2 linked regions of the Cricetulus griseus genome follow. The protein of the gene in region 1 purifies or fractionates together with the protein of each later gene. This does not show direct contact. Links are inferred from orthologs where the notes say so. Each region holds a gene or a part of one and is shown on either strand. Other genes may lie near its edges. The genes, in order: Ticam1 and Tlr4.

Region 1 (15,923 bases):
TTCCAGGACAGCCTCCAAAGCCACAGAGAAACCCTGTCTCTAAAAACAAAAAAATAAAAGAATTTATGGGGCTGGAGAGATGGCTCAGAGTTTAACAGCCCCGACTGCTCTTCCAGAGGTCCTGAGTTCAATTCCCAGCAACCACATGGTGGCTCACAATCATCCGTTATGAGATCTGGTGCCCTCTTCTGGTGTGCAGATATATATGGAAGCAGAATGTTGTATACATAATCAATAAAATCTTTTTAAAAAAATTCATGTAGGGTTAGAGCTGTGGCTCACAGGCAAAGCACTTGCCTAGCACCACAAGTAAATTTAAAAAGGAAATGTGTAAAAAACATTTAGGCTTTTGTCTTGAGATGGGTCCCCCCACAGCCCAGGCTGGCCTCAAACTTAAGTAACCAAGGTTGGCCTTCAATTCTTGATATCTTTTCAACCTCCCAAATGCCAGGGTGATTAAATTACATTTCTTGACTTAATGTGGGTATGTGCAAGTATATGGAGGTCAGTTTGCAAGAGTCGGCTCTCCCCATCCACCATATGGGTGGGTCCTGGCGAGGGAACTCGGGTCATGATCCATGACAAGCACCTTTACCAGCTGAGCCATCTCTTGCCCCCCCCAATCCAGTAGAAGTGAATTGACAGGCAACTGTCTGCCCTTCTCTACCCTGTCCTCTGTGTACCCTCCCCCCAGTCTTCTCACTATACCCCTAATGTGCTGGGCTCTGTCCTGCCCTGAGGCCTTTGATTGAGCTGTGTTGTCCACATGCACCTCAGGACAGGCTGTCACCTCCCTGCTTATTTCAAGTCCCTTCAAGTTTTCCCAGGTCCCCTTGCTTGCTTTACTGATGCTTCCTTTGACACCTCACCCTGGAACTCCACAGCCAAGAACCTAGCACCTTCCCAACCACCCGTCACCCCACACACCATGGTTCAGAGGATTTCATTTACATACCCCACCCCCAGAATCTCAGAACTGTGATGCTGGGGTTTCACTTCAGGTCTGCCTTGCACAGACGGGTCTGACTAGGTCTGACTCAGAGACTAAAACAGAAAGCAGGAGTGACTCATCTCCTCCTGCATGTAAGACAGGGCCTTGGCTGTTTGTGGGATGAGCCCACAGTTGCTTGTCCTTGGAAGTCTGGCTTTCTTACATTAAGTTCCCCTGAATTCTAACTCAAGTGATGCCAGGGCCACAGTTTTCCCCAGCTGTTAAATGAATGAATTCACATTTCACAGAGGCTTGTTTGGAGGGTTGAGATGTCTGGGCACATTAAAAGCTCTTGGATTTTCAAGACAGGATTTCTCTGTGTAGCCCTGGCTGTCCTAGAACTCTATTTTTAAGACCAGGCTGGCCTTGAACTCAGAGATCTGCCTGCTTCTGCCTCCCAAGTTCTGGGACTAAAGGTGTGCGCCACCGACACCTGGTTCATCCAGGGCTATGTAGAGAGAACCTGTCTCAAACGAAACACTGGTCAAAAGAGCACTGGTCCAGAGGTCCCGAGTCCGATTCCCAAGCAGCCACACTGTCCATTACCAGTAGTTCTCAACCTTCCTAACACTGATCCTTTAATACAATTCCTCATGTTGTGGTGGCCCTCAACCATAGAAATATTTTTGTTGGCTGGTCATCGGTGGCACACACCTTTAATCCCTGCACTCAGGAAGCAGAGGCAGGCGGATCTCTGTGAGTTTGAGGCCAGCCTGGTCTACAGAACGAGTGCCAGGACAGGCTCCAAAGCTACACAGAGAAACCCTGTCTTCAAAAACAAACAAACAAACAAAAAAGCTAAATAAATGTGAGGAGATGGCAGAGGGTCGGAGATGCAAAGTCCCACAGCCTTGGCTGAACCACACCACTTGCCCACACTCCAAAGAAAACCCTGCTGTAGCAAAATCTGCCAATATAGATGTTAAAAAAATAATAAACCTTTTAATGTGAGAATGGGTTTGACATGTCTATCCCAGTGACCCACATGGAGGAGGAGGACCGGCTCAAACAGGTTGTCTTACAATCGCCACACATTCCTGGCACACATACACTACATAAATAAATTCACAAAAGCAATCAACACCACCAGTAACTCCCCAGTGTTCTCCTTTCCTAACACTGCAAGGTTTCCTGGGATATGGCCGCCCACAAAATAAACTACGTTTCCCAGAGTCCCTTGCAGCAGAAGGCCACGTGGTCCACGCTGTCCAATGGGATGAGAATGCATCCACAGATTCCGGTTCCTGTCATTCAGGGAGCCGGATGGAGCTCCTATTCTATTCCAGTCCTGGTGGAGCTGAGTCTCTTCTCTAGGAGGTGGTGGGTGAGGGCGCCGGCTCGTGACTCAGCTTATAAACCCTCAGCTATTATAAACCCTCTCCATTGCCCCAGCACCACATCCTCCCCAGAGACTGTACGTGCCACGGTGGATGAGGGTCACGTGGCCGCTGGGGGCACCTTGGAGGAGCCTATGGCTCCTTAGCGGTCTGTCCACCTAGAGGGTGCGGGTTGGGGTCCCAGAGTCTTGTCCAATGTTCAATAGGGTTCTGGATGTTTTTCCAGGCCCTGCGTTTACAGGCGAGGTCTTCCTGGCCTCTGGGGTCCAATTCATGGCCGCTGTGTAGGCCCAGGCAAGGTTCCCCTCTCCCACTGTCGCTTTGGTGACTCAGGTGAAGTCCAGCTTGGCCACTCTAGCAGTCTAGGTTGGGTTCAGCCTGGTCATGTTAGGAATCTAAGTGGGCTCCAACACGATCACTCTCAAGCAGGGGTCCCCCCTGGTCACTCGGAGGGCCCAAGCAGGGGTCCTCACACTCAGTCTTGTCATTGGTCGACTGGGTCCCTGTCTGGCCCCACATGTGGTTGTTGACCCCCAACTGAACCATCTGGGCATGATGAATAATGAGAGGTCCTGGAGTCTGGGTGGCTGCAGGGGAGGCCGATGGGAAGGGTGGGGACTGCGGGGAAGAGACTGGAGGCTGCGAGAAAGACGGAGGCTGCTGCGGGAAAGACGGAGGCTGCTGGGGGAAAGACGGAGGCTGCTGGGGGAAAGAGACTGGAGGCTGCGGGAAAGACGGAGGCTGCTGGGGGAAAGAGACTGGAGGCTGCGGGAAATAGGGGGAAACCGGGGTGCCACCCTGCCATAGTTGTGAAGGTGTTAGCTGTGGACATCCCAGCCAACTGGGGAAGGGTGTAGGGGCCCCCAGTGACAAGTCCTTCCCGAAGGCCATCTGCAGGCTGTCCATCTGTGCTTGCCAGGCGCTGTAGCTGTGGACATAGGTTGAGTAGGCAGCAGACATGGCAGCCACCCTTTGCCGCTCGGCCTCCAGCTGTGTGCTCTGCTCCTTGAGGGCTCTGGTCTCCTGCTCTTTCTTCCAACGTATCCGGTATGCCTGGAGCTTCTGTGATTTGAAGGTGTTTGCCACCTTCCTGGCAAAGATAGGGGAGTGTTCATCCAGCCACACAAGGCTGTGGAGCAAGCTGGTCGTGTTGGGGCTGAGCTGGGCCTGGGAGCACTCCAGTGGGAGGAGGGGGATCACACAGTCTTGCCTTCCTGATTTCGTGAGGCTGTTCATAAGGGCGTGGTTGACTTGGTGCAGGCTCAGACGACAATCAAAGTTGGTGGTCAGAAGCAGGATCGTATACCCAGAGTGGTCGATAGCATCTTGGAGACAATGCAGCTCACCACGCCCAGGCACCTGAAATTCCTCACAGAAGGTGGCCCCATCGGGCACCCCAAGGGTCTCTAGCTTCTCCCGGATACGTAGGGCCACATGCTCGTCAGCCCTGGCATGGATAACCACAAAGTTATAGAATTTCTGCTCAGATGTTTCCAAGTGGTCCAGAATGGGGGGCATGGAGGCTGGGGGGACAGGACAGCTGCTGGGGAAGGAAGCAGAGGGCAGAGGGGGAGGAGGCAGTGTAGTAGAGAACTGGGGGGACTGTAGCTGGGCAGCGGGGCTAGATGTGGTGTTCTGCAGACTGTCATCTCCTACAGAGCCCGGGGGTGACATCTGATCGGTGATAGACGGCTGCTTTCCAATGCCTTCCGTGGTGGGTGGCAGGAGAGACTGGGAGCCTACAGACGCCTCTGTGCATTCAACCGGGCAGTGGACACTCGTGTCTGGAGCAGCCAGAGAGTCAGGGTGGATGGCTGAAGCCACCTCAGGGGACACCTCTGGGACCCCAGTTCTGTGTAGTGACCCCAAGGGGACGGGGACGCTGGTGTCCACTGACAGGGGCCAGCTCACTTCTTCAGGTTCTTGGCAGCCTGCAGGGACAAGCTGAGGCTCAGGGGAAGCTGGGGGTGTGTCACAGAGCTTGCTGGGCCCATGGGTTCCACGGTGTGGACAGAGGAAGGGCATAGTGGGTGACTGGCTGATCTCCAGGTGGCTAGCCAGTGAAGCGATGCTGCTGGTAGAGTGTAGAGAATGTCCCTGGCTCCAGTCTGATGTGTCAATGGGTCGAGGCTGGCTTCTAGTTACTGAAGGGGATGCTGAAGAAGGAGGCAGGCAACCCTGATCAGAATGGAGTGGCTGGAAGCCACAGTGGTCCCCCATGATGTCTGAACTACACCGATCCCGGGCCTCCTTCTGGAGTTGGCCCAGCAAGTGGTTACCCTGAGAGGCGAGGTCATGGAGGGCCACCTGGTAAGCCATGTCCCTTGTGGAAGCAGGACAAAGGTTCTCTTCAGCCAGCAGGTGGTACAGGCGAGCCACGGACCAGGACAAATCTGGAGGCTCCTCAGGGCCTTCTGTGCTGTCCACACCTATCCACTGGCAGGCTATCAGCTGGGCCACTGTGTCTGCCTTCAAGGACTCCAAAGAGGTCCTGGCCTCAGTGTTCTGGCCCAGAACCAAGAGCACCATGGCGTGAAGAAGCTTGGACTCCTGGCTGCCTGGATTCAGACTCCCCAGCTTGTCTTTCAGATGGACCAGCCTGTCCCTTTCCACTGCTCTTAGAAGGTTTAAGGCACCATGGAGTGATGGGTCTGGGTTGGCCATGGATGAGGGAGGATGAAGCCTGGAGCCACAGAGGCTGGGACAGGTGGAGACATGTTCTGCAACAGCAGCCTCCTGCCCAGAGTGTCCCCTGCTGCAGGAGATCCCAGAGGGTGGTGCAGCAGACCTGCGGAATTAGGAGTTTATCGTGACTTTCCAAACAAGACAGCAGAGGCAGGGGGGTCTCTGAGCTCCAGGGCTACATAGGGAGATGGGTCAGCAGGAGGGGTGGGGACAGAGGGAAGAGCACTGGCCAAGCATTTGCCGCAGAGTTCCATGTCCCACGCCCAGTGCCACAAGAACCAGGTGTGGTGAGTGAGCGGACGAGTGGGGGTGAGTGGATGTGTGGACTGGTATGAAGTTCTCAGTGACTTACAGGACACTCACAGTGATCCTCAGCTGGGACGGTCACCATCGTCACTCACCCCAGCTCTCTGTTCACAGCTGAGAAGACCTCAGAGTCGGTCAGTCCTCGTGTCCCCGACACCCATCCCCCCTCTATAGCCAGGCTGGGATGGGACTCACTCCTGTCCCACCCCAGGGCCACCTGCTGGCCTCTCAGGCAGGGACAGGTGTGGCTGTTGTGACCAGACAGCCCTGGCATGGAGTGGTGAAGGCTAGGGACACTTCTTAGAACCCTTCCACAATGCCCCATAGAGAATGTCCCAGCCATGTACGTGTCCGGGATGCTCAAAAGGGACCCTGGTCTAGACCTGAAGTCAACACGTCAGTCAGTTAACCCACAGACTTTGCAAACAAATGACCAAAAAGCCTATAAAGACCGGACTTGAAGCAGCAGAGGTAGGCTGGGCAGAGGTCAAGGGAGCCAGGTAGGCAGAGGGAGGGGCCTAATGACCATTGGCAGAGCCAGAGGCACAGGAGCATGACAGGTGGGGGCGGTGACGGCAAATGGCAGCCCAGGAAAATGGAAAAAGCTGGAAAGAGCAAAAAAGGCAGGGCCACCACCCTCTCCATGACTGCTGGGAAATGGAGGCAGTTAGGTGTGAAAGTGTAGACAGAGGCAGTGACAGTGTGACCAAAAGCAACAGAGCTAAGAAGACCTGTCAGACAGAGAAAGGGGGTCAGCTGCCCATCGTGGCTGCAGACCAGACGAAGCCTGAAGAAGGGTCAAGAGCTACAAGAATTAAGGCTTACTTTGGCAGAGCTGAACAGTGTGTCCTAAGGACTCAGAGACAACAGTTGGAAGGGACATGAAAATGGAGAAGCCTGCAGGGCGTTGGTGGCACATGCCTTTAATCCCAGCACTCGGGAGGCAGAGGCAGGTGGATCTCTGTGAGTTCGAGGTCAAAAAACCAAAAACCAAAAAAAGAAAAAAAGAAAAAAGAAAATGGAGAAGCCTGAGAGCACTGCAAGGGGAGGGCACAGCTCATACAAAGACCCTGGGGCAGAGGACACAGCAATGCAAAGGTCCTGGGGCAGGGGCCAAAGCCCTACCCCTAAATCCCTGTCCTGACCCCCCACCCCACCAGAAATCTCCCACCCTCATCTAGGATGTCCACCTCTGTCCTCAGGTCCCTCCTTCACACCCGTGCAGTCTCTTCATTTGCTTACCATTTCTCACTCAGGAGTGTCTGGGCTCTGCCGTGGGAGACGCTACACACACACACACACACACACACACACACACACACACACACACACACGGGCATCAGGCAGAGCAACAGGATGTGATTAAAAAAAAAAATCACCTAAGATCATTTCGAGAAATAAAAGTGCCATGGAGGAAATGAACCTGAGACAGAACCTGGGGTGGAGGATGCCCTAGGGAGGGCATGACTGAGCTGCACCCCTGAAGGAGATGAGCTAGTCCAGAGAGGCCCTTTGGAGAGCACTGTGAGTACAAAGGTCCTGGGGTACGGAGTGCAGCCTGGCATGCTGGAGAGGTGAGTAGGCAAGAACAGAGGGAGGAGGGGCCCGGGTGGCTTTGACCCTGAGGGAGATGGGAGCCCTGGAGGGCTATGGGTGGAGATCCTAGGGAGGAAGCTCCCTATGTGTGCTGTGGGGAGGATGAGTCCAGGGGAGCTCCAGGCAGAGGAGAGTGTCACAGAGTTAACCAGAACTTGTCCCTCTCTCTCCCCCTGTGCATGCTATGTTGTCACTTACATGCACTGTCCCACCTAAGGGCCTCTGCATGGATGTCCCTCTAGGAGCACATAACCTCAGGCAGTCAGTCCCTTCTCTAGCAGGGCAGCTCTCAACTCCTCATGACCTCCTACTGAATTTTACTTCATGTCCCACAACAGACAGGTATCTGGGACCCAGCAGGAGCAGGGCTCAGGTACAACTGTATAGTTCCTAGGATCCAGAGTGCCTGACACATAGTGGGTACATAATGCCGACTGTGGGCTGCCAAGATAGCTCAGTGGGTAAGGATGCTTGATGCTGCCAATCTGGACTGAACTTTGAGTTCAGTCCCTGGACCCATTAGTAGAAGACAGAAAAAGTTAAAATAAAATGCATAAATGAACAAACTGCTGGGCCTGTTTAATCCCAGCTCTCAGGAGGCAGAAGCAGGCAGATCTCTGTGAGTTTGAAGCCAGCCTGGTCAACAGAGCGAGCTCCAGCACAGCCAGTGCTACACAGAGAAACCCTGACTCAACAACAGTAATAAATAAAATAAGCATTCACTGGAGAGAAAAAATTAACACATGAACAGGGTGGTACCTGGTATACAATAAGTGCTTAAAAAGTGCTTACTGAGGCCTGGGAATGCACTGAGTGGATAGAGTACCTGTCTGTCATACAGGAGGCCCGGATTTCAACTCCCAGTGCCAGGAAGAAAGAGGCAGGGGCAGAGAAAGAGGGAGACAGAGAGAAACACAGAGAGGAGAGAGAAATGTTTATTGACACTGCTAAGCAAAGAGCAGGCAAAAATATAGCAGGGTGCATGCACAGTATTCGAGTTTTATTTGCTTGTTTTCTGTTGTTGTTGAGACAGGATCTCATAGACCATATAGGCATTGTACTATGTAGCCCAGGATAACCTTGAACTTCTGATCCTCCTGCCTTTACTACTTAAGGGTGTCTGTTTCCTCTTATCCAAACTATCTGAAAAGCTAAGGCAGGAGGATTTTTCTCTCTCTCCTCTCTCTTTCTCCCCCTCTTTTGTTTTTGGAGACAGGATTTCTCTATGTAGCCCTGGCTGTCCTGGAACTCGCTCTGAAGCCCAGGCTGGCCTCAAACTCACAGAGATCCACCTGCCTCTGCCTCCCAAGTGCTGGGATTAAAAGCATGGGCCAGCACCACCAAGCTTGGGAGAGTTTCTTGAAACCAAGAGATCAGGGACAGCCTAAGTGAGTTCCAGGCCAGCCTGGTCTACATCTCCAGATACAAATAAATAACATAAATGACATCAAAAAATAGAAGTAATTATTTTTAGGAGAGGGGTGAAGGCACTCAGTGGGTGGAGCTCTCGTCTAGCATGCATGAGACCCTGGGCTCTATCCCTAGCATGAACTATGACACACGGATGGATGGATGGATGGATGGGTGAATGGGGCTTCCTTTCTTTCTTCCCTGGCTTTCCTGACAGACCTGACAATCTCTTGTGGCACAGGGTACCCTTCCCAGTCTCTGGTGAGTGTCAGCTCTGGGACTCAGAGACTGAGTGCTTCCAGGGAACCTGGATGGTTCCAGGATTGACCCTGCAGGTACCCAGGGGCAGCTGGCTACAGAAGTTTCACCAGGCCAGTCCCAACACCTGGAAGACTGCTGCCTGTGTTAGTCTGGGGATAGAGGTTTTGACAGGAGACATTGTGGTAGAGAAAGTGGCTCTGATCAGGAAATAGAGACCAGGAGAGGGATTGGGGGTGGGGAGGCTGAGAGTTGGCTGTTGTGGCTGGAGGAGACCTGTGTATTGGAAGATCTAGGAATTTGGGGGGTCACTGAGGTCTGAGCAAGCACCCAGGATCCTAGGACTGGGTTGGGGTCAGAAAATGGGCTGCGGATCTGCTTGAAGCAGCAGAACGGGCTGCAGGTGGAGGTCCAGCGTGCCACCCAGGCTGTCCAGGGCCCTTCTGGCCCTGCACCCGCTGTCCCCTCTGCCTTCCTCCTACCTGGCCGTGGGGTCCTGGGCTGGTGGATCTCAGGGTCCCTGGTGGCCGCTGGAGAGGGAGGAGGGAGAAGAGGAGGGAACGGTTCCACCCCTTCCGTGTGGGGAGGAGCAGATGAAGTCAGCTGTGTCCCGCCCCAGAGGGGAAAGTCCCCAGGGCGCCCCAGCCCTGGCCCTGCCCTCCGCCCAGCGCCATAGTGCCACGTAGAACAAGTCAGGGCTCTCATTGTGTGGGGCCAAAGCAGGGGAAGAAGAAACCCCCACCCCCAGAGACCGAGGAGCTGGTAGCCACAGACCTCAATTAGTGACATACTCTGTGGGGATTTGCAATGCACCATGTGGCTAAGTTCACAGGCTGGTGACTTATGCCTCTGGGTCCAGCATACTGGAAGCTGTAACAGGCCCTAAGCTACAAGCTAGCCTGACCTACACAGGGAGACTTCCATCTCAAAAATAAATTAACAGGCCAGGTGGCAGTGACAAACACCTTTCGTCCCAGCACTCGGGAGGCAGAATCAGGTGGACCTCTGTGAGTTCGAGGCCAGCCTGGTCTACAGAGAAGAGTGAATTCCAGATCAGCCAAGGCTACATACGCAGAGAAACCCTGTCTCAAAAAAGAAAACAAAACAAAAAAAACCCGAATAAATAATAAGTAATAAACAAGAGTGCTGGAGGCTACAAGGAAAAAATCCATCTGTTTTTTTTTTTTTTTTTTTTTTTTGAGACCGGGTTTCTCTGTGGCTTTGGAGCCTATCCTGGAACTCGCTCTGTAGACCAGGCTGGTCTCGAACTCATAGAGATCCTCCTGCCTCTGCCTCTGCTGGGCACCAATGCCTGGCTGTGAGAATATTTTTTCACGTCACATCTTATTTAATATTTTTTCGTGTGTGTGTGTGTGTGTGTGTGTGTGTGTGTGTGTGTGTGTGTAGGTCAAAGAACAGCAAGTTCCTTCACCTGCTGAGCCATCATAAGGACACAAAATAAAAAAAAAATTGAGGTTTCTGGGTATTTAGTATTTTAAGAAACAACCTTTGTGGCCAGGCATTGGTGGCACATGCCTTTAATCCCAGCACTCGGGAGGCAGAGGCAGGTGGATCTCTGTGAGTTCGAGGCCAGCCTGGTCTACAGAACGGCTCCAAAGCTACCCAGAGAAACCCTATCTCAAAAAAAAAAAAGAAAAAGAAAGAAAGAAAGAAACCACCTTTGTATGTACATGATGCTATCCTACAACTTTGGGCTATCATCCTGACTCAGCCTCCCAGATGGTTAGATTACAGGCATGTTTTAAAACTGATGAAACTAAATTGTGAAAACAGAAAAACAGAAGCGATTTATAGGGGACACTGATTGGGAAGTGGTTTGTGTAAATGAGCCATCCACCCCAATTGGGAGATTCTAGGTGGGAGAGGGGGAGCTGCACCCTGACCACACCCCCAGCCCCTCACTGGGGAATTCTAGGTGGGGCTCCATCCTTGACCCCCACCCCCAAGCCCTCAGTGGGGGATTCTAGGCAAGAGTATCTGGCTCATGTCACTGACCATGATGTCTCCACAGCTCTGGATATTAGAGTTGGTATTAGAATGGCCCGTGTTTTCCTTATGTATAAGACAAGTTTGTGGAAGTCAGGGATTGGCATCAGGTATCTTTTTTGGTCACACTCAAGCACATTACCATTGGACCATCTCTCCTGCTCCCGAGTTTTGCTATTTTGAGCCAGGGTCTCCTGTAGCCCAGGCCAGCTTCAAACTAACTTCGTAGCCAAGGGTGAACTTGAACTCCTAATCCTCTGGTCTCTAGGTCAAGGAGATCAGACATGGACGTGCTTGGCAGGTGGTGTTCAGTCTGCTGCACTGACCTCCTCTTCACCTCACAGAATGTGCAGGGAAGGGAAATGGGCAGCAGGTCCCTCCTGGTCCTCTGCCAGGGTGGATCCATGGCTGGGAAAGGAACAAACACACCATCTGCCTGGTCTCTGATGCATGTAAAATTTATTAAAGCAATACTGAACCCCAGGGTTTGAGGAACACTGGACACTCAGCCTTCAGCCACTTTCTCATCTGAAATGATTTTCACATCCCTGCTGTCCACCCTGTCATGGAGGCGGGCTTCTTGGATCAGGTATCAGGGTCTGTTAGGAAAGCGCTTGCTATTGTAGGTCATGACATAGTAAAGGGACCAGAATGCAGTATCACCATGACCTGATGTCTGTCAAGACAAGGTCTTACCTAGCTTAGGCTATAACTGAGTTTGCTATGCAGCATCTGGCTTTGAATTCTTTCTTTCTTTCTTTCTTTCTTTCTTTCTTTCTTTCTTTCTTTCTTTCTTTTTTTTTCCTGAGGCAGGGTTTCTCTTTGTAGTTTTGGAGTCTGTACTGGAGCTAGCTCTTGTAGACCAGGCTGATCTTGAACTCAAGAGATCTGCCTGCCTCTGCCTCCTGAGTGCTGGGATTAAAGGCATGCACCACCACTGCCCAGCTGGCTTTGAATTCTAGATCTTCCAGTTTCTACTGTCACAGTGCTGGCATAGGATGACAGGCATGTGCCATCACTACTAGTTATCCTGATTTTTTTTTTTTTAGGGAAAAAATTTTTCTAGAACATTCTAGAAAAAATTTTCCAGTAACATTCTAGAATTTTTTTTTTTTTTTTTTTTTTTTTTTTTTGCTTTAAAAGACTGATGGGAAGAGGTTAAATACTTCTTCAGACTCAGGGTAGGTGAGGACTTGGTGTGCAACAGGACTTTTGGGAAAAGCTGACTGGAGCCAGCTGCGGGCCCTGACCCCTATCCCTGCTTCTCCTCTTCCAGGGGTTTCTCAGTGATTCCAGGAGCAAAGGGGCCCACCAGCCATGTGACTGGAGTGTTCTGGGCCACGTACTCCACAGTGTGGTCGAGGGCCTCCCGGGCTCTGGCTATGCGCTCTCGAGTCTGGGCAAGAACACCTGCTGTGAGGTCCTGGAAGGAATGGATGCCAGAGAAGGTGGCCTGAAGATCCTCAACCTGGCTGCGGGCCTGCTGGGCCTGCTCCCTGATGTGGCCAGGCAGGCCCTGGATGCTGGCCCCCAGGGCCACACACGTGCTTTGCAGCTGCTGGGTGATGTCCCTCAACATGCTGAGTGCCCGGGCCTCCACCTGCTGGAAGGAGAGAGTGGGGATGGGGTGAGGGCCAGCAGGGGGACAGCCCAGCATCAGGGACTCCCCTCAGGCTCCTATAACCAGGGAGACACTGGAAGATGCCTAGAATCTAGACTCATCGTCGAACACAAAAGCTACTAGGAGGGGACAGAAGCCAAACAGAAAAAAATTAAAAAGCAGCTGGGCAGTGATTGATTCACGCCTTTAATCCCAGGCAGGCGGATCTCTCTGAGTTCGAGGCCAACCTGGTCTACAGAGCCAATTCCAGGACAGGCTCCAAAGCAATACAGAGAAACCCTGTCTCAAAAAAGAAAAAAAGAAAAAAACAACAAAAATACAAACCCCAAATCAAACCACAATGTGGACACTAAGAGACCAGATGTGATGGCCATACAGCTGTGATCTCAAAACAAAACCAAACAACCCTCCATAGCAATTTTAAAAATACAAAAATTAAAAACCAAAGCCAAAAATGCCAGGTGGTGGTGGTCCACGCCTTTAATCTCAGCACTTGGGAGGCAGAGGCAGGTGGATCTCTCTGAGTTCCAGACCAACCTGGGCTAGAGAGAGAGTTCCAGGACAGCCACTGCTACATAGTGAGGTCCTTGAGAAACCAAGATAGAAAAAAAGCCAAAACAGAATCATGTAAAGCCTGGATTCTGTGGTCACCCCTGGGACAGGAAGCACAGAGTGCACAGAGCAGGGTATGCAGACGGACACAGGGATCCCGGTGCCCAGCAGGTACCTCTGGTTTAGCTGCATCCTTTTCTGCATCTTGGGGCTTCTTCTGGTTCCAGCTGAGCCACATGTGGTGTAGCTTCTCCTGCCCCTCCCCCAGCCTCTGGTCCATGCCCTGTTTCACCGATTCCATCTGCGGTCCAGAGAAAAGGGTGGGGGTTGTGTCAAAGGGAGCACTCCTCTGTCCCAGATGTTGGGCTCCAGCCAGTTGGGGACAACAGGAACGGGGATATTCTTCATTTACATTTTTTTTTCTTTTCTAGCTAGCCTGGAATTCACTATGTAGACCAGGCTGGCCTCTGCCTGGATGAAAGGCTCTGCCAAGGAGTCCCACACCTTTGCTTCTGCCCTTGGGCAATGCTGAGGATGGACCCTGCTCCACCAGCAACCACCGTCAGTCAGTTTCACAGGGAATATGACAGAAGAGTGCCTTAGCTGATCTCGGGACCCAGCGACCAGCATCCCTAGCTGCCAGGAAAGTAGAGAAAGCCTGTGCCCTGCCCCACACACCCTGGAACCGTCTAGATAATGACACTGGGTTCACTATCAAAGCCTGCAACTCCTCTCACAAGGTTGTACAATGAATGTGTCTGGTTCAGCTGCACAGATTGTGTACTTTGCTACACAGCCTGAGCTGACTCATACACTATGGTGTATGAAGCCAGCCCAGGGGAACTAGCCCAGCCCACCTGCTATGAGGTAAGATAGGAAGGTGGCCCCAGCCTTGGTCACACCCCGACTCTCACCAGGCTGAGTGCATGCGTGAGCTGCTGCAGTGCCTCATGGGCATTCTGCCTAGCGCTGCGCAGCTTGCCCAGTGAATGTTCATAGGCGTGGTTGCGCAGCCGTTCTGACAGCGAGCCCAGCCGGACGAAGTAGTTCCTTTCTTGTCTCTGCTGCTGCAGTGAGGCCAGGTCTGAGCCCTCTGGGGATGTGGCAATCAGGGCTGTGGGCACAGAGGGGGAGAATGCTCAAGCTCACACTGCCTGGTGCATGCCCTGTGTCGAGGGTTGAGAACCCGAGGCAGGAGGCTTGCAGGTCTCTGGCAACCCAAGCTACAGGAGCCCCCATCTCAGAATAAAAAGCAAAACAAAGTTCATTCCCAGGACTTGGCCAGCAAGATGGCTGAGCAGGCCAAGATGCGTGCTGCCAAGCCTGAGAAACCAAGTTCAATCCGTGGAAGTTGTGCTCTAGACACTTGAAATACACTTAGCACAGGCATACTTCATATGATTAAAGTGAAATATATTTTTAAAAAATTGAAAAGCACAAGCTTTTAAGCCCAGCACCAGGGAGGAGTATTGTGGAATAGAATATTTGTTTAGCTATGTAGAAATGTGTTGCATTTGTTTGTGTTGAAGAAAATTGTTTAACTATGTAAAGATGTGCTGCTGTTTCACCTTGCCTGCCTAAGGCACCTGACTGGTGTAATACAAAGCTGAAAAGCCAACTGCTAGGCAGTAGAGGGACAGGCCGGGCTGGCAGGCAGAGAGAATAAGGAGGAGGAGGAATCTAGGCTCAAGAGAGAAATGTCAGAGAAAGAGAGGGAGATGTGCTGGGACAGCCAGCAGACACAGAGAAGCAGGAAAGTAGACTTACAGAATGAAAAAAAGGTAAAAAGCCCCAAGGCAAAATGTAGATGAACAGAAACAGGTTAATATAAGTTATAAGATCCAGTGGGACAAGCCTAAACTAAGGCTGAGAATTCATAATTAATAATAAGCTTCCATGTTATGGCTTGGGGGCTGTTGGTCCAAGAAAGCCTGCCACAGAGAAGGAGACGGGAGGATGGACCCCCAGGGCTCCTCCGGACAGCCAGCCTAGCCAAATCTGTGAGCCCCAGGTCACTGACACCCTGTAAAAAACAACGGGAAGAATGGCCTTGGGCAGACAGAGGCCAACCTGTGGCCTTAGCACAGGCACTCAAAGGCCTTTGTGGGTTTTGTTTGTTTTTTGAGACATCTCATCAAACTCATAGACATACACCTGCCTCTGCCTGGAAAGTGCTGGGATTAAAGGTGTGTGTACTCACACTAGGCAAAATCCTATATTCTGAAAAAAAAAAATCCCCTTCTCATTTCCCCTTACACAGTAGATTTTTCAAAAGAAAATGGTTACATTTTGTCCAGGCCAGATGGTTTATAGCAGTTCTCTTGGAAGCTGGGGGCTGCACCCAGGGAAGTGAAAGCAGCCTGGTGCTTTTAGCCAAGGCAAGGACAGGAAGCCATGGGCAGAGAGTAGCATGACACAGGGAGGGTCAGGCTTTGTGTCCCTGGAAGACAGGCAGTTCAATTGGTCTGAACTGGAAAGGGTGGGAAAAGACTCAGGCTGGTCTCCACCTCCTGAGTGCTGGGTCTACTGGTCTGTGCCACCATGCTTGGCTATGTTGTGCTGGGGATGGAACCCAGGGCCCTGTGTGTGCTAGGTGAATGCTCTACCCACAGCCCCAGATTGAAGCTAATTCTATATTTGAGACAGGGTCGTGCTATGTAGCCCATGCTGGCCTAGAAATTCTCCATCTTCCTGCCTCAGCCTCCCAAGTACTGGGGTGACACTTTGCTTGGGTTACAAAACTAGCTCCCACAAGTATCTACTATTCCCTACCTGGCGTTACCCACAAGCCACCTGGGTCCTATAGGACACATGTCCTCATCAGGTATGCATCTGCAAGGGCAGTTGTTAAAACCAAGGCTGCTCAGACAGGAGCAGCCTCCACAGAGCCTCTGGTTCCTGTTCATACATTGCACCCCACCCTCTGACAGGCTGGTGTCTGTACTGGGGATAGGTCTCCCCCACAGAGGGTCACTGTTCGCTGGGAGTGAATGCTGCTCTGGCTTTACATGGCTATGTGCCAGTCAAAACCCATGGAGCTGCAGGCTCCTGGACAGCCAAGGAGGAACCAAGACCACTAAGGAAGCCAGGAAGCACCTGTCTAACCCAGTACTTGGGAGTTGGAGACAAGGGGATCATCCTTGAACCAAGAAATAGCTCA
Region 2 (15,875 bases), on another chromosome or scaffold:
CATGTAGCCTTCATTCAGTAATTGATAGAACCAAATGCTTAAATCCACAACCAAGCACCACGTCAAGATCCAGGGAATCCAGTCCAAGAAAAGGAGGAGAGAATATATGAGTAAGGGAGGACAAGATCATGTGGAGAAATCTACAGTGACAGCTGAACCAAGCTAGTAGAAGCTCATGAATTCTAGACAGACAGCTGTGGAGACTCCAGGGGACAGAACTAGTTCCTACATGTGTGGGGGACAGTTGTGAAGCTTGGATTATCTGAGGGGCCCCTAGAAGTAGAACCAGGATCTATCCCTTGTGCATGAGCTAGTTTGCTGTAGCCGATTCCCTATGATGGCATGCCATGATCAACCTTAATGCAGGGTGAGGGGCTTGGTCCTGCCCCAACTTAGTGTGATAGACTTTGTTGACTCCCCTTATCTGTTGAGAAGAGTGGATGGGGAGGTGATATGGGGAGAGGGGAGGAGAGTGGGAGGAGGGTTGGGAGGGAGAATTGTGGCTGGGATATAAAATGAAATTTTAAAAATGAATAAATAGATTAAGAGAAGAAGGTAGGAAAATGGGTGACTTGTTCACGAAACTAAGCAGCATTTGATGAATAAAACAACTTACTTATGTACTTACCAGTTTCCTTGCAAAATGTGTCATAACACCCTGAGTTACACAGTGTGCTATTCACAATGACGTGCAATAGTGTGACCAGCAAGTCTAGCCCATTGTTGCATCAGAGCCCAGTTCAAAGAATTTGTCATCCGTCATCTCCTTGAAAAGGGGGTGAGTAGATTTTTCATGTTTCTCCCTTACCAGAAATTGATAAAAAAGAGAAGAAATACAATGAGCAGTATCCATAGCAAGAGATAATTATAAAGAATCTGCCCATTTTTTAATTCAAAGCATCTTGAGCACTTATGAGTGACAGATATCAGTGGGCATTAGGGCTGGAATTAAGAATGTAGCAGACACTGCAGTCAGTACTGCCTTGTATTTTATTAGACAATGTATAAAACAAGACACAAATCAAGTACTATTAGTTTTCAAATTTATTACCATAAGTATAGATGTACCTGATGTGTACTGAATTTCTCCAAGGTACAAAACACTATGATTGGAATGGGGTATGCTGAGATAGAATATATTCAGGGGTTGTCTTGGTGGATCTGAATGCCTAGTGGACAAAGAAAACTCTTTTCTAACAACATGACAGATATTTGCTGTGTGAATCCTAAGGTTAGGTTTACAATGCTGAATTGGAGAGACTGGACAGTGTTAATAAAATACACAGTCTTAATGTAATATATTCTATACCATAGAAATATTGAACACAGTACATTAATGATAGTAGATTAGAAATGAGTATCTGTGGATAAAAAAGTTAATTTTTCAAAATAGTGGGAGAAATAATGAGGCTTCTCTTTACTTCAACATACTGAAATATATATCAGTGAGTAAATATTTTCAGTGGTCCTTAGGAAACAATTTTTTCCTGATGCTTAAGCTTTTTTGTTATTTATTTAAAAGGAACTCATTTTCCCTTGTAAACAAATAATTCTCCACTGAATATAGCATGCTATTAATTATAAGACATACTTCTATCTACCGAAAAGAAAAAAATTAAAAGCCCTGCCCACTATAATAATAGTGCATCAATATTCAGGAAGCCTATTATGAGCTGAGAAATGTTGCTGAGGTTTTCTTGTCCAGCCAGGTCCTGCCACCCTTATCCCAAAATGAACACACACAGAGACTCTGTATTAATTATTAAGCTGTAGGCTAATGCTAGGGCTTCTTATTGGCTAGCTCTGTATTAATTACTAACCTATTTTGATTAATTTAAATATTTCCACGAGGTCTTATCTTACTGGGGAAGGGACAAGACTTGTTACTCCTTCCTCCACTACATGGCATCTCTTTACTGCCTACCTTTCCCAGAATTCTCCTTGTATTCTAGTCACTCCCATCTTCCTGCCTCTTTTAGCCAAACAGTGTTTTATTCCCCCATCAGAGAAGTGTTAGTAGGTGAGAAGTGTGAAACTCAGGGATGTTAGATAGTTGGAAGGAAACAGTTAAGGTTCTAATATACAAGAAGCAAAGGGAAACTTTCTTCTCTCTACCAGATTATATTGTGGTTATTCACTCTTAATGTAAGATTGTGTTGCATATATTTTGATGATGAAAAAATGTTAGTCATTAATAGGGCAGCATTGCTATTGTACAATGGATCCTGCAGTTTTTGATACTCTCTCTCTCTGTGGGTCTCTGTCTGTCTCTTTGTCTCTCTCTCTCTCTCTCTCTCTCTCTCTCTCTCTCTCTCTCATGCGTGTGTGTGTGTGTGTGTGTGTGTGTGTGTGTGTGTGTGTGTGTGTGTGTGTGTTTGAAGTAGGACAAAAGGTTTAAAGGTTAGAGATACCATTTTAACAAATGAGTTCTTAGGACTGATTCTAACCATAGAATGAAAGAAAAGGTTATACAAGTCAGAGGTGACAGAGGAAAGTAGTTATGAATATGGATGTGCTTCCCTCCTCTTTTCATATCTTGGAGAAAACTCCAAGCCTATTTATCAAATGTAGCAGCACAATGAAGTAAAATGTCTCTGGTAGCAGGAATCATTCTTCATATAGTTGCAAGCATGGATTTTCTCACTGACAATTTCATGAGCAAGAAATATGTATCATGTCATGTATATGTGTTATGTCATCATATAAATTAAATTAATATAATACTAGTCATATGTATTGTATTTTGTTTCTTATTGAATATTCAGCATCTTCCACGTTGGACCAGATGCTCACTTTTCTTTGGTAAAGATAGGATTCCTCCATTGGCTGAGTGATAGAAAACCAAGTGGCTGCCTAGTCAGTCTACTCTCTATTGTGCTTTAAATAATGAGCTCATGATGGTAACTAATCACTTGTATATAACTCATTGCAAAATTGTATTGATATGCTTTTTGAGGTTAAGCAATAAAACTCCATTTTTTAAGGTTTCTCTCTTGTATTCTACACATGGCCTATCTTCTAGAAGAGGCTCACAGAACTGAAATACCCTAGTTAAGGTCATACATGCCAATGCATTTTTCTCATTAGTTTCATAAGGAAATATCCACACAATGCACTCTCAGGAATATTTCTACTACAGTTAAGAAAGCTTTCCAACACACAAGCATCAATGCCTCATAAGGCATAGTCTAGAAGGGATTATTTTATTCTTTCTCTTGGGTTTCATTTTGACAACTCAGGGGCTTCCTTTCCAATAGTAGAAAGGACATTTGTATCATAGTAAGTGGGGGGTCTAGTTATATCTGTCATTAATTAACATGCTTTGTTTGTTCCTCATAGGTGACATGTTTGTGTATAAAGGGTGTCAAGGAAGGATTGAGGTCCAAGGAATATTACTAAGACAGTTAGGACATATTCTACTTCCTGTGTTTTTACAGGGAAAACTTGAACTAAAGGAGAAATAGTGGGAAAGTTGAGTCTTCTGAATATGTGAATCTGGGTTTTTAAAGACAGATTTACAGTGTATTACACTACCCTAGACTAAGGGACATAGTCAATGATGGATGAAAATGAACAATTAGATTTTAGAATTAGTTTATATTTGAAGTTTCTAGAGTTTGACACAATTTCTTTTTCAATTGTGTAAGATTTTTTTATTATTATATTTAACAGTTCTTTTTCTATTCCACTATCTTCATTGTATAGCATTATATAAGTTAAAATAGTCCTTTGACATTTTATGGGTTTCCTTTTATTATTATTATTATTTCTTTTTATTTAAATTAAAAAATCTTATTTTACATACCAGTCCCAGTTCACTCTCCCTTCCCTCCTCCCACTCCCTCCACCATCTCCCTATCCCAGACCCCATCCACTCCTCAAAGAAGGTGAGGCCTCCCATAGGGAATCATAAATTGGCATAATTTTCTAAATGTGTGGTTGAGATTAATAGAGTAGGAGATGATTCACTTTGAAAAGATAGACATTAATTTTTTCTTTAAATTGATTGACTCTGTGTGTCATATGCCCCCTTTCTCTCTCTCTCTAACTCTCTCTCTCTCTCTCTCTCTCTCTCTCTCTCTCTCTCTGTGTGTGTGTGTGTGTGTGTGTGTGTGTGTGTGTGTGTGTACATGACTGTCTGCATGTGGAGAATAAACAGGACTTGCATGCGCTACTATGACTTTGTACTTTATTCCCTTGGGATAAAGTCTGTTGCTGAACATGTAGGTAGACTGGTGGCCAAAAAGCCCCAGGGAGTCTCTAGAAAGGAGTATCTGGTCCACTGTTGTCTGCTCTTCTGCAGTTTAGTTTTAGATAAGCTTGATTTGAGGCACTTATGGCATATTTTGGGGGTGTCAACTAAGACACTGGTCCACTGACATTTAACCTAGTTTTATTAATCAGAAACTTAAAGTAAACTTGCCTTTTTGAAGACATTGCTTTGAGAGCTTTACAACAAAACTTTGAGTAAGTATGATTACCCCTATTTTATACATTTTTGATAATTGCTATAGTTATCTTTTATGGGATCTGATAAGAATCTATGATGTGGTTGATTTAATTCAATCATGCAAGAGAAATGCAATTATCTTGTATTTATTCTATGATTTATTTACTTTTTGTGTGTACAAGTGTTGACCTACATATTTTTATGTGTATCAGATATAATGATCATGTATGGCCAGAAGGCAGCAAGTTCCCTAGAACTGGAGATACAGATGCTTATGAGTTACCATATGAGTGCTGGGAAGCAAACCCCATTCCTTTAGTAGAGCAATAATTGATAGCCTTGTGTCTTTATTTTACATAGTAGCAAATGCTGATTTGGTGTCTGTGTATTCTGCCTGCATCATGTATCTTTTTCTTTTCTTCAGAAACTGCTGATTGACCTTTTAATCAGAACAATGAAGGGATACACTCTGTCCCTAGGAGTGATGACAGAACATCATTTTGTAGCAGGACTGGGATTTACAGGTTGGAAAAAGGAATTTGAGGAATGAGAAGATTCCTTCTGTAGGTCAGTTCTGCCAAAGTCTCAAAGTGGTAAATACAATGGAGGTTGGTATATTTGAAGGGACAGTAGCGCACTCAACAGAGCATGTGGCTCTGCAGGCCTCGTCCTTCTTCCCCATTCTATCTGTCTTGCTAAAAAGTGTTCCTAAAGCTAGCCACCAAGGTCCATATCCTTATTTGGTCATTTCCTCTTCCGGAGGCTGACTAACAAAGTCCAGCAATCAGAAGCCCCCTCTGGTTCAACTAATTAACATACTCAACTAAAATTAAATACCTCATCCTAACACGGGGTTTCCCCTTTACCTTTATAAACCACCATTTGCCTATGTGTCATATCTATCTGGTTATTCTCTATCTCATGTCTGTCTGGTTCTTCTCTATCTGGAGGCAGCCCTTTGTTCCTCCAGGACAAGTACTCTTTTCTCCTTTCCTTTGTCCCCTTCCCCTTCTTCCTCAACCCATATCTCCTTTACCACTACCACATAGACCATTCTAACACAGATCTTCTCCTCTTAAAATGTAACCCTCAAAGTCATTTACTGGTGTTATCTGCCTGACTCAGAAAGCAGCCACTTTAAGTTTTCTTCCCTGCTTAATAAAGGATTTCTGTGGAAACAGATGCTTGGGTGGGCTTTGTGCTTAATCCAGGGTCCAGGAGGTAGTCCCTACTGTACAGGAGTCTCCTTCAATATTTATCTTATCAGAAGTTTCTAGGACCAAAAATGATCCAGGAGAAATCACATAGCTTTCTAAGCATAAGCATTCTAAATATGAGTTTCTATAGGGAGAAAGAAAGAGAAAAAAAAAAAGAGAGAAAATGTTTTCAGTTTTACAGGTCAGAATGTAAGATTTGGAAAACAAAGTCATTTGAGAATTGTCACCTAATCATAAGTCATGAGCCATAGACCTGACCTGAGGATATGTAATTCTGATCCCTTCTGCTCTACTCATGGTGTTTCCCCAGAACCTTTCAATTAGCTTCCTATGTGGGCATTTCTTCACCGGCAGTGTCACATGTAGAATTATGTACTGTTCTCTGACATTCATATGTTGAAGTCTTCATCTCCCATTGCCTCATCCTGTGACTTCGATTTAATGAGATAATTAAAATAATGTTCTATGGTTCTGCCTTAGTACAGTATAAGCAATATTACTTTTAAAACTGCACTTGCGGCATGCAGCAGGTGGCCATGTTGGAGTGGTGGAGGCAGCACAGAGGTGCGTCCTGGGTCCCGGCGGCGGGCTGGTTTGTGGATACCAAGGCAGATCTGCAGTGCCTGATGCCATAAGCATGGTAGTGCACCATGTGGAGGAGAAAGCTGTACACTCCTGGTCACGAATTTCCACAGCAGGGAAGAAAGCCCTGAAAGAGCCACTGCTTGTGTTTAATCCTAGGAGCCAGGATCTCAGTGCCACAGAAGCCCAGCTTGTGGCCTTCCTACAGGGCCTGCGAGATGATGGCTTCCAGGGGACCATTCTGTGAAGTGGTGATGTCTATGGCTTTAGTTCATGCACAGCCACCGCCCCCCAGCCAGACAAAGCTACAAGCTCGTAACACCAACCCATCTGCCACATCTCTTCCATCCAGGGCTCCCCAAAGTGCTGTGTTGCAACCTGCAATCCAGCCACACTGCTCCCGTGCCACTGTTTGGCAGGCTGACTAAGGGGTCCACACCGGCCCTCGCCAAGCATGCTACCACTAACTTGCTGCTGAGCTCTCTGAAGCAATCAAATGCCAGCCACACCAGTGGTACAACAGTAGGCTTCCCTGCCCACCTCTACCCAGGTGTCTACCCTGACATACGACTGTCTGTGGTCCTTGAAGCACTGGTTCCACTCAAGATTCCTTGCTTGGGTATTAAGAACAGGGCACAATCACTGCTGCTGTCACTTGCAAACTCTACCCTGAAACTGAGAAAGGTTCGGGGAACCCACAGTCCAAAGCATCCCAGAAAATAACAAGCAAAGGCATCAAATGCCTGAGTAGGAAAGGCCCTGGGGCTGATCAACAAGGCACTGGGCCCCGGAGCAGTGGCCTACGTGTGAAAGGGTACTCTGCCTTGGGCACCAAAACAGTGCGGGCCAAGGCATCTCGAACACTGACCAAAGCTGCTCATGCCCACGCCAGCCTAACTCGAACCCAGAACAAGTCAGTAAGGGTCAGGGCCAAGACAACAAAGACCAAGCCCAGGGCAACAGGAGCCAAATCCAAGGCCACTGTAGTAAGGGACAAGGCTAAAGCCAAGGTGGTCAAGGACAAGCCAAGGCCAAAGCAGCTCAGACCAAGTACAAGGGAAGGCCAAAAGGATCTGTTCAGAGTAGAACTGGAAGGACAAGCCTGAAAAGTGGCTCTGAGTCTGTGGGGAAGAAGAGGAAGAAGGCTGAGGAGGTAAAGGGTCTTCCTCCTAAGAAGAGAGCACAGTTTGTGCTCCAGTCTTCTAAGGCAAGGCTGCGGCCTAGAGCAAAACCACGAAAGTCCCAGACTATAATGGAGCACAGAAAATTCTCAGAAGATGAGGTTCTACAGTGGGCCCAGCAGATCCTCCGTGTGAACCTCTCTCCAGTAGTATGGCTCCAGCCATTGCTACCATCTTGATTCCATACTCAGCATCCTGAGTCATCCTTGGCAGCAGTGCTTGGGAAAACAGTTGGGCTGTCCATGTGACCAGTATCACAGTGTGCTATGCTCGTGGACTCTGCAGCTTTCCAGACTCTGGGTACCTCCAGGACCCCTGTGGTCACCATCCTCTTTTCAGAAGCTGAGGATTTGGGGTTGGGTGGGTAGCGGTCTGGGTGTTCTCATGGCTCAATATACTGTGACTTGTTCTTCTAGTTGTACATCCAATGTTCCATCTATCATGTTTTATATCTTTCCACAAAAAAAAAAGAAGCAGGGGGCCGGGCATTGGTGGCACACACCTTTAATCCCAGCACTCAGGAAGCAGAGACAGGTGGATCTCTGTGAGTTAGAGGCCAGCCTGGTCTCTAGAGCGAGTGCCAGGATAGGCTCCAAAGCTACACAGAGAAACCCTGCCTCGAAAAACAAAACAAAACAAAAAGAAGCAGGGCCTGGGGAGACATGTCAGTAAAGTGTTTTATGTGCCAGAAGACCTGCAGACTGCTAGCACCCTCATAAAAACTGGATGCTTTGCATGTACCTCTAACTCCTGCACTGAGGTAGGGGCAGAGAAGACTAGATCTCAGGAACTCACTGGCCACTCAGTCTAGTCAATGAATGAGCAGTCAATTAGAGACCCTGGCTCCAAAATTGCAGTGGGGTCTTCTGAGTTTTACCCTCAGCTCACTAGCCAACTCTTATTCTTGGGAATGCATTCCCCTTTGTAATAAACTGTGTCTGTTCCTTTCTCTAACAGTAATAATAATAGTTATAATTAATAATTAATAGTAGCAGAAGAATGGAGACAAACAAGGAAGTCATCCAACAGTGAACTCTGGTACACACACACACACACACACACACACACACACACACACACTTGCAAGTGTACACAGAGAGTACACACACATGAAGTATTCATCCCCCCCATGAATAAGCAGGTACACATACACAGGTGCGTACACATATACCCAACCAAGAAAAGATCAGGACACAGACACACCCCACAACATCATTTTTCTGGCTTCCACCCTTCAGAATTGTGAGAAAATAAGTTTCTGTAGTTTGTAACACCCAGTGCAGTACTGTGCCGTCAGATACCTAGAAGTCTAGCTTGACCACTAGTGAAAACAAAACAGGAATGTGGACGTTGCTCCAGGCACATATACTGGCTTCATGAGTATCTGGTTACTTTCTGCGTTCCCCAAGCCCAGAGGTCAGATGACTTCCTGGGATGAAAGCCAGCTTCCTCTTGCTGTTCCTCCACAGGCTGGTCGGCAAACGCCTTCTTCCTGTTCTTTCCTTAGTCTTCTATCTAGCCTCCTGAGATAGGGTAGATACATTCTAGAGAAAGAAAGAAAAAAAAAAAAAAGTGAGAATGCTAAGGTTGCCACTCTCACTTCCTCTCACCCTTAGCCCAGAACATTTTTTAATATAGTTCTTTCAGAGGGGCACCCGCCCAGAGAGAAGAGGCCGGTGCCCCAGGGACTCTGCCTTGCCAACGGCTACAGTTAGTTCATCATGCTTTCTCACGGCCTCGGCTGGTTGCAGAAAATGCCAGGATGATGCCTTCTTTCTGCCTGGCTGGGACACTGATGATGGCATTGTTCCTCTCCTCCCTGAGACCTGAAAGCTTGGATCCCTGTGTGGAGGTATGTGTCTCGACCAGCTCCTTTCCTGTTAGCCTCCCTTGTTTCTCAAAACTCTCCCTATGTCGGAGCTTCCTGCTGTGTGTTCTGATTTGTTTATTTTGCACACAGGAGTTAAACTAACCAAAAACTTGAGAAGCTGTGAGGACAAAGAGACTCTGTGTTAGCAGGGCAGCAACAGGCAGCCAGTCAGTGTCTTGTTCTGTTTAGACTTCCGAGCCATGATTATTAAAGACTTGAAATTAGTAAAACTAAGGATATTGTTTCTGTGACTTGGCTGAGTGACAGCCAAGAAGTTACTGAACCTTTCTGAGGCCAGTTTTCACACTGTAAAAGAATTACAGTGCTCACAGGGGGATTGGAGAAGGCTAGTAATAGCAGGCCTTTCTGTTGGTACTGTGGACACTCAGCTTTCAGAAGTCATTCCTTTCCTTTCCTACTCAGGTAAAGGTGGCTGTCATTTCTGTCTCTTAAGTAGCATCTGTGTATGATGGAGTGGTCGATCAGCAGGTTCAGTCAGTTGCTGACAAGCCTGACTACCTGAGTCAATCTTCAAGCCCCACATGGTGGAAGCAGAGAATCTACTTCATTCTCTGAGTTCCAAGTGTCTGCCCTGACAGTTGTGTGCATGCATGAAAGTGGACACACACACACACACACACACACACACACACACACGCACGCACGCACGCACGCACGCACGCACGCACGCACGCGCACACACACACATGTTAATAACTGTAATTTTTTTCCAAATGAAAGAATTTTCTGAGAATTTTAAATTCTACCACTAATTTTAGAAAATAATGAAATGGGAGGGAGGGAAGGGGAAAGACAAACGGGAGGAAGATAAAGACAGAGAGACAGAGAATGAGATAGACAGAGACAACAGAAAGAGGCAGAGAACAATGTAAAACATCAGCTAAGGCAGTAATTCCCTTCTTGGTGAAACAATGACTAGTGAGTAATATGATTCATGACTAATTCTTATTTTCTCACTGCACAGACCACACAATTATCTCAGAAGCTCACAATAGAGCTGAACAAACAGGGAAATAATTTAGGGCGAGGCAGGCTCAGAAGCTCAAGACAGGTATTACAAGTTGGAGTCACGGTGTTGACCTGGAAAAAATATTATAGCATAACAAAGACTAACTCCTTGCTATCTCGGTATCTTGTCTTCTGATTCCTTAGTTATGCTGACAGAGATAGAGTTTCCAATCAGTTTCATACTGAGAAAAAATCCTGTGGTATATACTGTACTCTGGAAACCCCCATAGTCAGCCTGTTTCTTCCATAAGCTCATGTCTCAGTTCCATGGGCCTTGTCTCCAGGGATTATGACTGGTTCCCTAATTTGCTGTCCTTTCTGTAACCACACTTTCATCTCTATTTGTTTTCACCGGGCCAGAGGACTGGATTTATCAAATTACTCCTTTACCATTTTTAATAACTCTTTAGTGCCTCCAAGGCTGTTTTTCCTACAGAGTAGTTTCACTGCTTGTCCTACCCACACAACCCCTCCCCTAGATCAGAGCTGTCTTATGATAAAATTTTGGGATCTGCTTATATAGTTTAAAATGTTCCTGGTGGTCAAACTGAAAAAAAATGAGTGAAGTTATTTTTAGTGATATATATTATATAATCAAATATAGTCCAACTATTAAGAAGATAGTTTATGTTCCATTTTTGCTACAGAATATTAGAAAGTCAGCAATATTTTATGTTTACTACAAAATTTGATTTATACTACACACATGGTTCATGTTCAACAGTTGTCTGTGACATATAGCCACAGACAGAATGTAGGACTTTGATTTCAGGATTTAATGTTTCACTTTCACTTTATGTAGATCTCTGTAAAAGGGTCTCCCCAGGGTGTTTTTTCTTGATTCCCAGATGGAGATATCTGCCTTTGGCCTCTTTGTGTGTGTTTTCATTGATCATATCATATCATATTTTTGTCTGTTTTTAATTAGTTATCCTTCCTTTTCTGCTGGGTTTATCAATATGCCACCAGTGTCTAGATCATAGTAGGTCTTTAGTTTGTATGCAAATGAAAGAATGACTGCTGGACAATGTCTGATGCTCTTGTGTTCAGGTTGTAGCTACCCATAACTTAAGGCTCTCCTCCCTTGCCTGTTGCTAGCCAATTCATCTGAATTTGTTCCTACCCTTTACTTGCTTATGTTCTTTTCTTCTTATGATTTACATTTCTTCCCTTTTCCACATGTCAGATACTGCTCACCTTCCATGTTCTGGGTCTACAATCAGTCTCTATTACCTGTGAACCAGGCTTGCTTTGTAGGTTTTAGTCCCTTTCCTTCTCTTCTAACTGATGTTGAGTTCGATGACAACTGGAATTGTACAGCATTTATTTTTGTACTGCTCATGGCCCTTAGCAGAAAAAGCCTACCATTTGGTTTACATGGACCTCTGTTCACCAGGTATAGAATTTTCTATCATTCACTCATGCAACAAATAGCTAATGGGCATTGACAGGTCACCTTGCAACTTTCTGAGCCTTGGAGACAATGTACCAAACAAAATCATCAGAGCATCAAAGCTCATAATCCAGTTCATCAAATGAACGACATTTGGAAAATAATTATATAAGCAACACAAAGTTGCTCTGTGATTGAAACCTATGAAGGAAATAAAAGAGGGCAAGTGAAGAATTTCTTCCTGACACCTTATTCTATTAGAAGCACTCTCTTTAAGGATACTATGGTAAGTATCGTGTAAGCAGACAAATGTGAACATACATGGATAAATCCTTTATGTGCATTACCCCATCTTCTCATTTTTCCATCTTTAAAAGATGTTTTGAAGATTAACATAAAATACATAACATGTAAGTAAATTGTTGATATACAGCAAGGGATTAATAATAGCCAATGATAATTAACATTAATATTCATCACTTTAATTATAGCAAGCTTTGAGATAAGATCTGATCTCATTTAATCCTTTGAGAATTCTATTTCTTTTAAATAAGAGAAAGCAAAACTCACTGGGTTAAACAAAGAATTTTCTGGAAGAAATCATGTAATTATGAAATTAATTGGAAGGTTATGGAATAGGGTTTACAGTAAATATGAGAAAATAGATAAAACTAAGTGGGGACTATAACAGCACAAAACACTTGGCCTTGATCAATGGATTCCATGTACTCTAAGACTTCCTCTCATTCCTACACCAAGTTGCTAAAGTCAATAAGCCAAGAAAGAAAATGTAATTGTCTAAAATAGGTGGTATCTAAAAAATATCTGGATGTCTTCATTGGTACTCTCCATGTGTCTGTATATAATTAGGATATGTAATTAGAATGATAGTAATTTTACATAAAACTATGTATTTACAAAATATGTGTATTTTACATAAAACTAATTAAATTAGCTGAAGGTATTATAAAACAAACATTGTCTCATTCTCAACATTCATTAGTTTGTAGAGAGTTGAGGACTCCTGAGCTTTTTACTCTATCCATGGTAGCATGTCTTGTTGTCATGTTTAGGAAGTCATGTTAATGAGGCTTCTTTTTTTCCTTTTTAAAATTTAAATTAGAAACAATCTTGTTACATGTCAATCACAGTTCTATCTCCCTCCCCTCCTCCCCTTCCCCACAGCAACTCCCTATCCCATCCACTTTCTGCTCCTCAGGGAGGGTGAGGCCTTCCATGAGGGATTATCAAAGTCTGTCTTTATGAGTGTAGTTTCTGACATTATTAGGAGACACAATATCACAATAAACTTGTTCCCTTGGATATTATATTATATTATATTATATTCTTTCATTGCCCCGTTTTACAATGACCTCTGAGCTTTAGATGCAAGTGTTTTATTGTTAATGTATCCCTTGGAACTGGGATGCAGAATTATGCATTTTGATTGGTTTTGGTTTTCTGTAATGGTCTGTTGTATGGGAAAGAATCTTGCTGGGGAAGAGAATACTAATTGGTTACCAAATATGAAATGGTCATCCCTGAAAAGATATATATGTAATATTATACAAATTGATCAGGCTGTACTTATGTAATTATGGTATATATATATATATATATATATATATATATATATATATATATGCATGTAACAAAAACTAATGAATAAAAAGAGGAAATGGATTTGAAAGAGATCAAAGAAAGGGGTGAGGGAGGACTTCAAGGGAGGAAGGGAAATGATATAATTATAATCTCAAGAATAAATAAATAAAATGGTTAAAAAAAAGTTTCTTTGCACCCCGTGGCACAGAACATCTGTTATGAAACCGAGGATTTAAGAATTGATAGCCCTTTAATTCCTGATTCTCTTGTTCCTCATTTAATAATGTTTTTTTTTTTTGTAGTAAAAGGCTAACACTGTGAGAATTCAGGGGATACTTTTTTCCTATTGTATAGAAGAAGAGATTTTTATAAACATGAAGTGGTAGATAATGAATGGGTGATGATAGATGTGGTGTCTTACTCTTATAATATCAACACTGGTGTGGTGTGGGCAGGTAGATCAGGAGTTCAACGTCAACTATGGCTGTAAAGTAAATTTAAGTCCAGACTGGGATAAATGAGGCCCTGTTTCAAACAAAACAAAACAGAATGAATGAATGGGTAGATGGGTGTACAAGAGAAGGTTGGAGGGCATGCTTGTATACAAGTTTTGCCACCCTATTATTTGTCTTTGGGGAGGAGTGGGAAGACATGCAGTTGGAAACAGACCTTTGTTATGTGATCTTTACAGGTGGATTCTAACACTAGCTACCAATGCATGGATCGGAATCTCAACAAAATCCCTGACAACATCCCTTCTTCAGTCAAGCATTTAGATCTGAGCTTCAACCCCCTGAAGACCTTAGGAAGCCATAGCTTCTTTAATTTTCCAGAACTCAAGTTGCTGGATTTATCCAGGTAATAAATGAGTTTTAAATGCTGCACAAGGTGAGATAGTTATTTTTCTATCATTTCATTCTTGGCCAAGAAAATTTATCTTATCTAACTCAACTTCTTGCATTGATTCATTCATTACAATGTATTACTTGCTGTATATCCTCCAACAAGCTACTTTTATCACTCGGTTTCAGTATGATGCACCACTAGATAAGATCACTTAAGGACAGTTCTAGGTTTATTTTAGCTTAAACTATTCCATTAGATGTTTGTGGGCCACATACTATATGTTGTTCCCTAAGCTACAGAACAAGCATTTATAGATACATACCTCATAGTCCTACTTATTAAGTAGGATTAATATGTTCTTCAATGAGTTAATAAGTTAAAATTTTGTCTCTGATTTTATACACATAGCACTGTTACAACACATGTTAATCAACTCTGAAGCTGTGGTTTATAACAGTGACTGACAAACTATGTACAAATAAAGGCAACTATTGGAAGAGGAGCTGTCTTATCATGTGTTGGGAGAGGATGGTGACATCAGTAGGTGAAGGAGATGCCTGAAATAGTGAAAGTGAAACAGAGTGTAGAGAATAAGAAAGACACTAAATTAGGAGAAAGATGCCAAAATTCAAGAAAAACATTTGCTATTGGCAAGAAAGTGTTGCTGAGATTTATTTTGTGACCTACCAATTTTAACCATGTTCTCTGTGTAACCATAGATTTAGAACTAGCTATTGGAGCCTAGTGAGCTCAACCATTTGATGAGCAGCTAAAACCAATGACTGTCTCTCCCCTAGATTCTAAAGTTTAATAGGGAGCAAAGGATTCCATGATCTCCTCGCTGATCCATGACTTTTAATTGGTAGGTTTAGTCTTGTGGAGGTCCAATGCAGGTAACCACAGTTGCTGTGAGATCAGGTTTGCAATGGCTGTGTCATGCCGAAAGATAACCTGTCTTCTCCCTGTCATCTGGCTCTCATCTTCTTTTTGCTCCCTCTTCCTCAATGCTTTCTGATCCTCAAAGCAGGTATTATAATTGTCTGTTCAGAGGTGAGCACAGAACCATCTTATGCTCCTTCCATCTAGAACATCTAAGAAAAATCTGTATTCTCCACTGTTTACTATAAGAGCAGTGACATTTGTTAATGGGTATAAATATCATTATTTAGACAAGAGTCTGGTGCCATGCTAATTTAGTTAAACCACATTAATAACAACCATACCTCCCACCCCATAGTTATGCTAACATTTCAACACTAGACACAAGTTGCCTGGCAAGTTCATGTTATAGTTCTAGGTAATTAGCTAGATGATACCAGTAATGACTTCTCTCTCCAAGCAGCCTCTATAGCACCTTCTTGCCGAAAGCTATTTGTCAGGAGGGAGGCTTCAGCTTTACATCCGTGAATTGTAATGAGAGGGGCATCCTTGAAATTTGAAGTAGATAAAGGGCCTTCATTGTTTTTTTTTTTTTTCAATGTTTGTAAAACTACAGAAATGCTTCACATGTTTTTATTCCAAAATGCCTTGATAAAGATTAAGATTATGGTATTAAAGGTCTTCTGCGAGAAGTCATTACTGCCAAAAATTTATCAAATACTTTATGCATTATAGTCTTTACTTGGGCATTAACAGAGTATTCCAAAGGAGGAGGGAAACACCTCTGTAGCATGAGGAAGAATGGAGCCCATGTTTCTTCCAACAT

What was found.
Region 2: the proteins of Ticam1 (region 1) and Tlr4 purify together in Homo sapiens (affinity purification with western blotting; 3 studies listed by BioGRID). This does not show direct contact. The link is inferred for Cricetulus griseus from reciprocal best matches to the Homo sapiens genes TICAM1 and TLR4.

The regions. Positions count from the first base shown.
Region 1 is NC_048598.1:97,275,201-97,291,123, reverse strand, and holds Ticam1 (TIR domain-containing adapter molecule 1), read right to left. Parts: upstream 9,186-15,923; 5' UTR 9,066-9,185; intron 5,117-9,065; 5' UTR 4,993-5,116; coding exon 2,716-4,992; 3' UTR 1,908-2,715; downstream 1-1,907. Other genes in the region: Plin3 (perilipin-3), read right to left, coding at 11,843-12,193, 12,939-13,064, 13,678-13,877.
Region 2 is NC_048595.1:79,140,181-79,156,055, reverse strand, and holds the start of Tlr4 (toll-like receptor 4 precursor), read left to right. Parts: upstream 1-8,943; 5' UTR 8,944-9,192; coding exon 9,193-9,282; intron 9,283-14,015; coding exon 14,016-14,182; intron 14,183-15,875.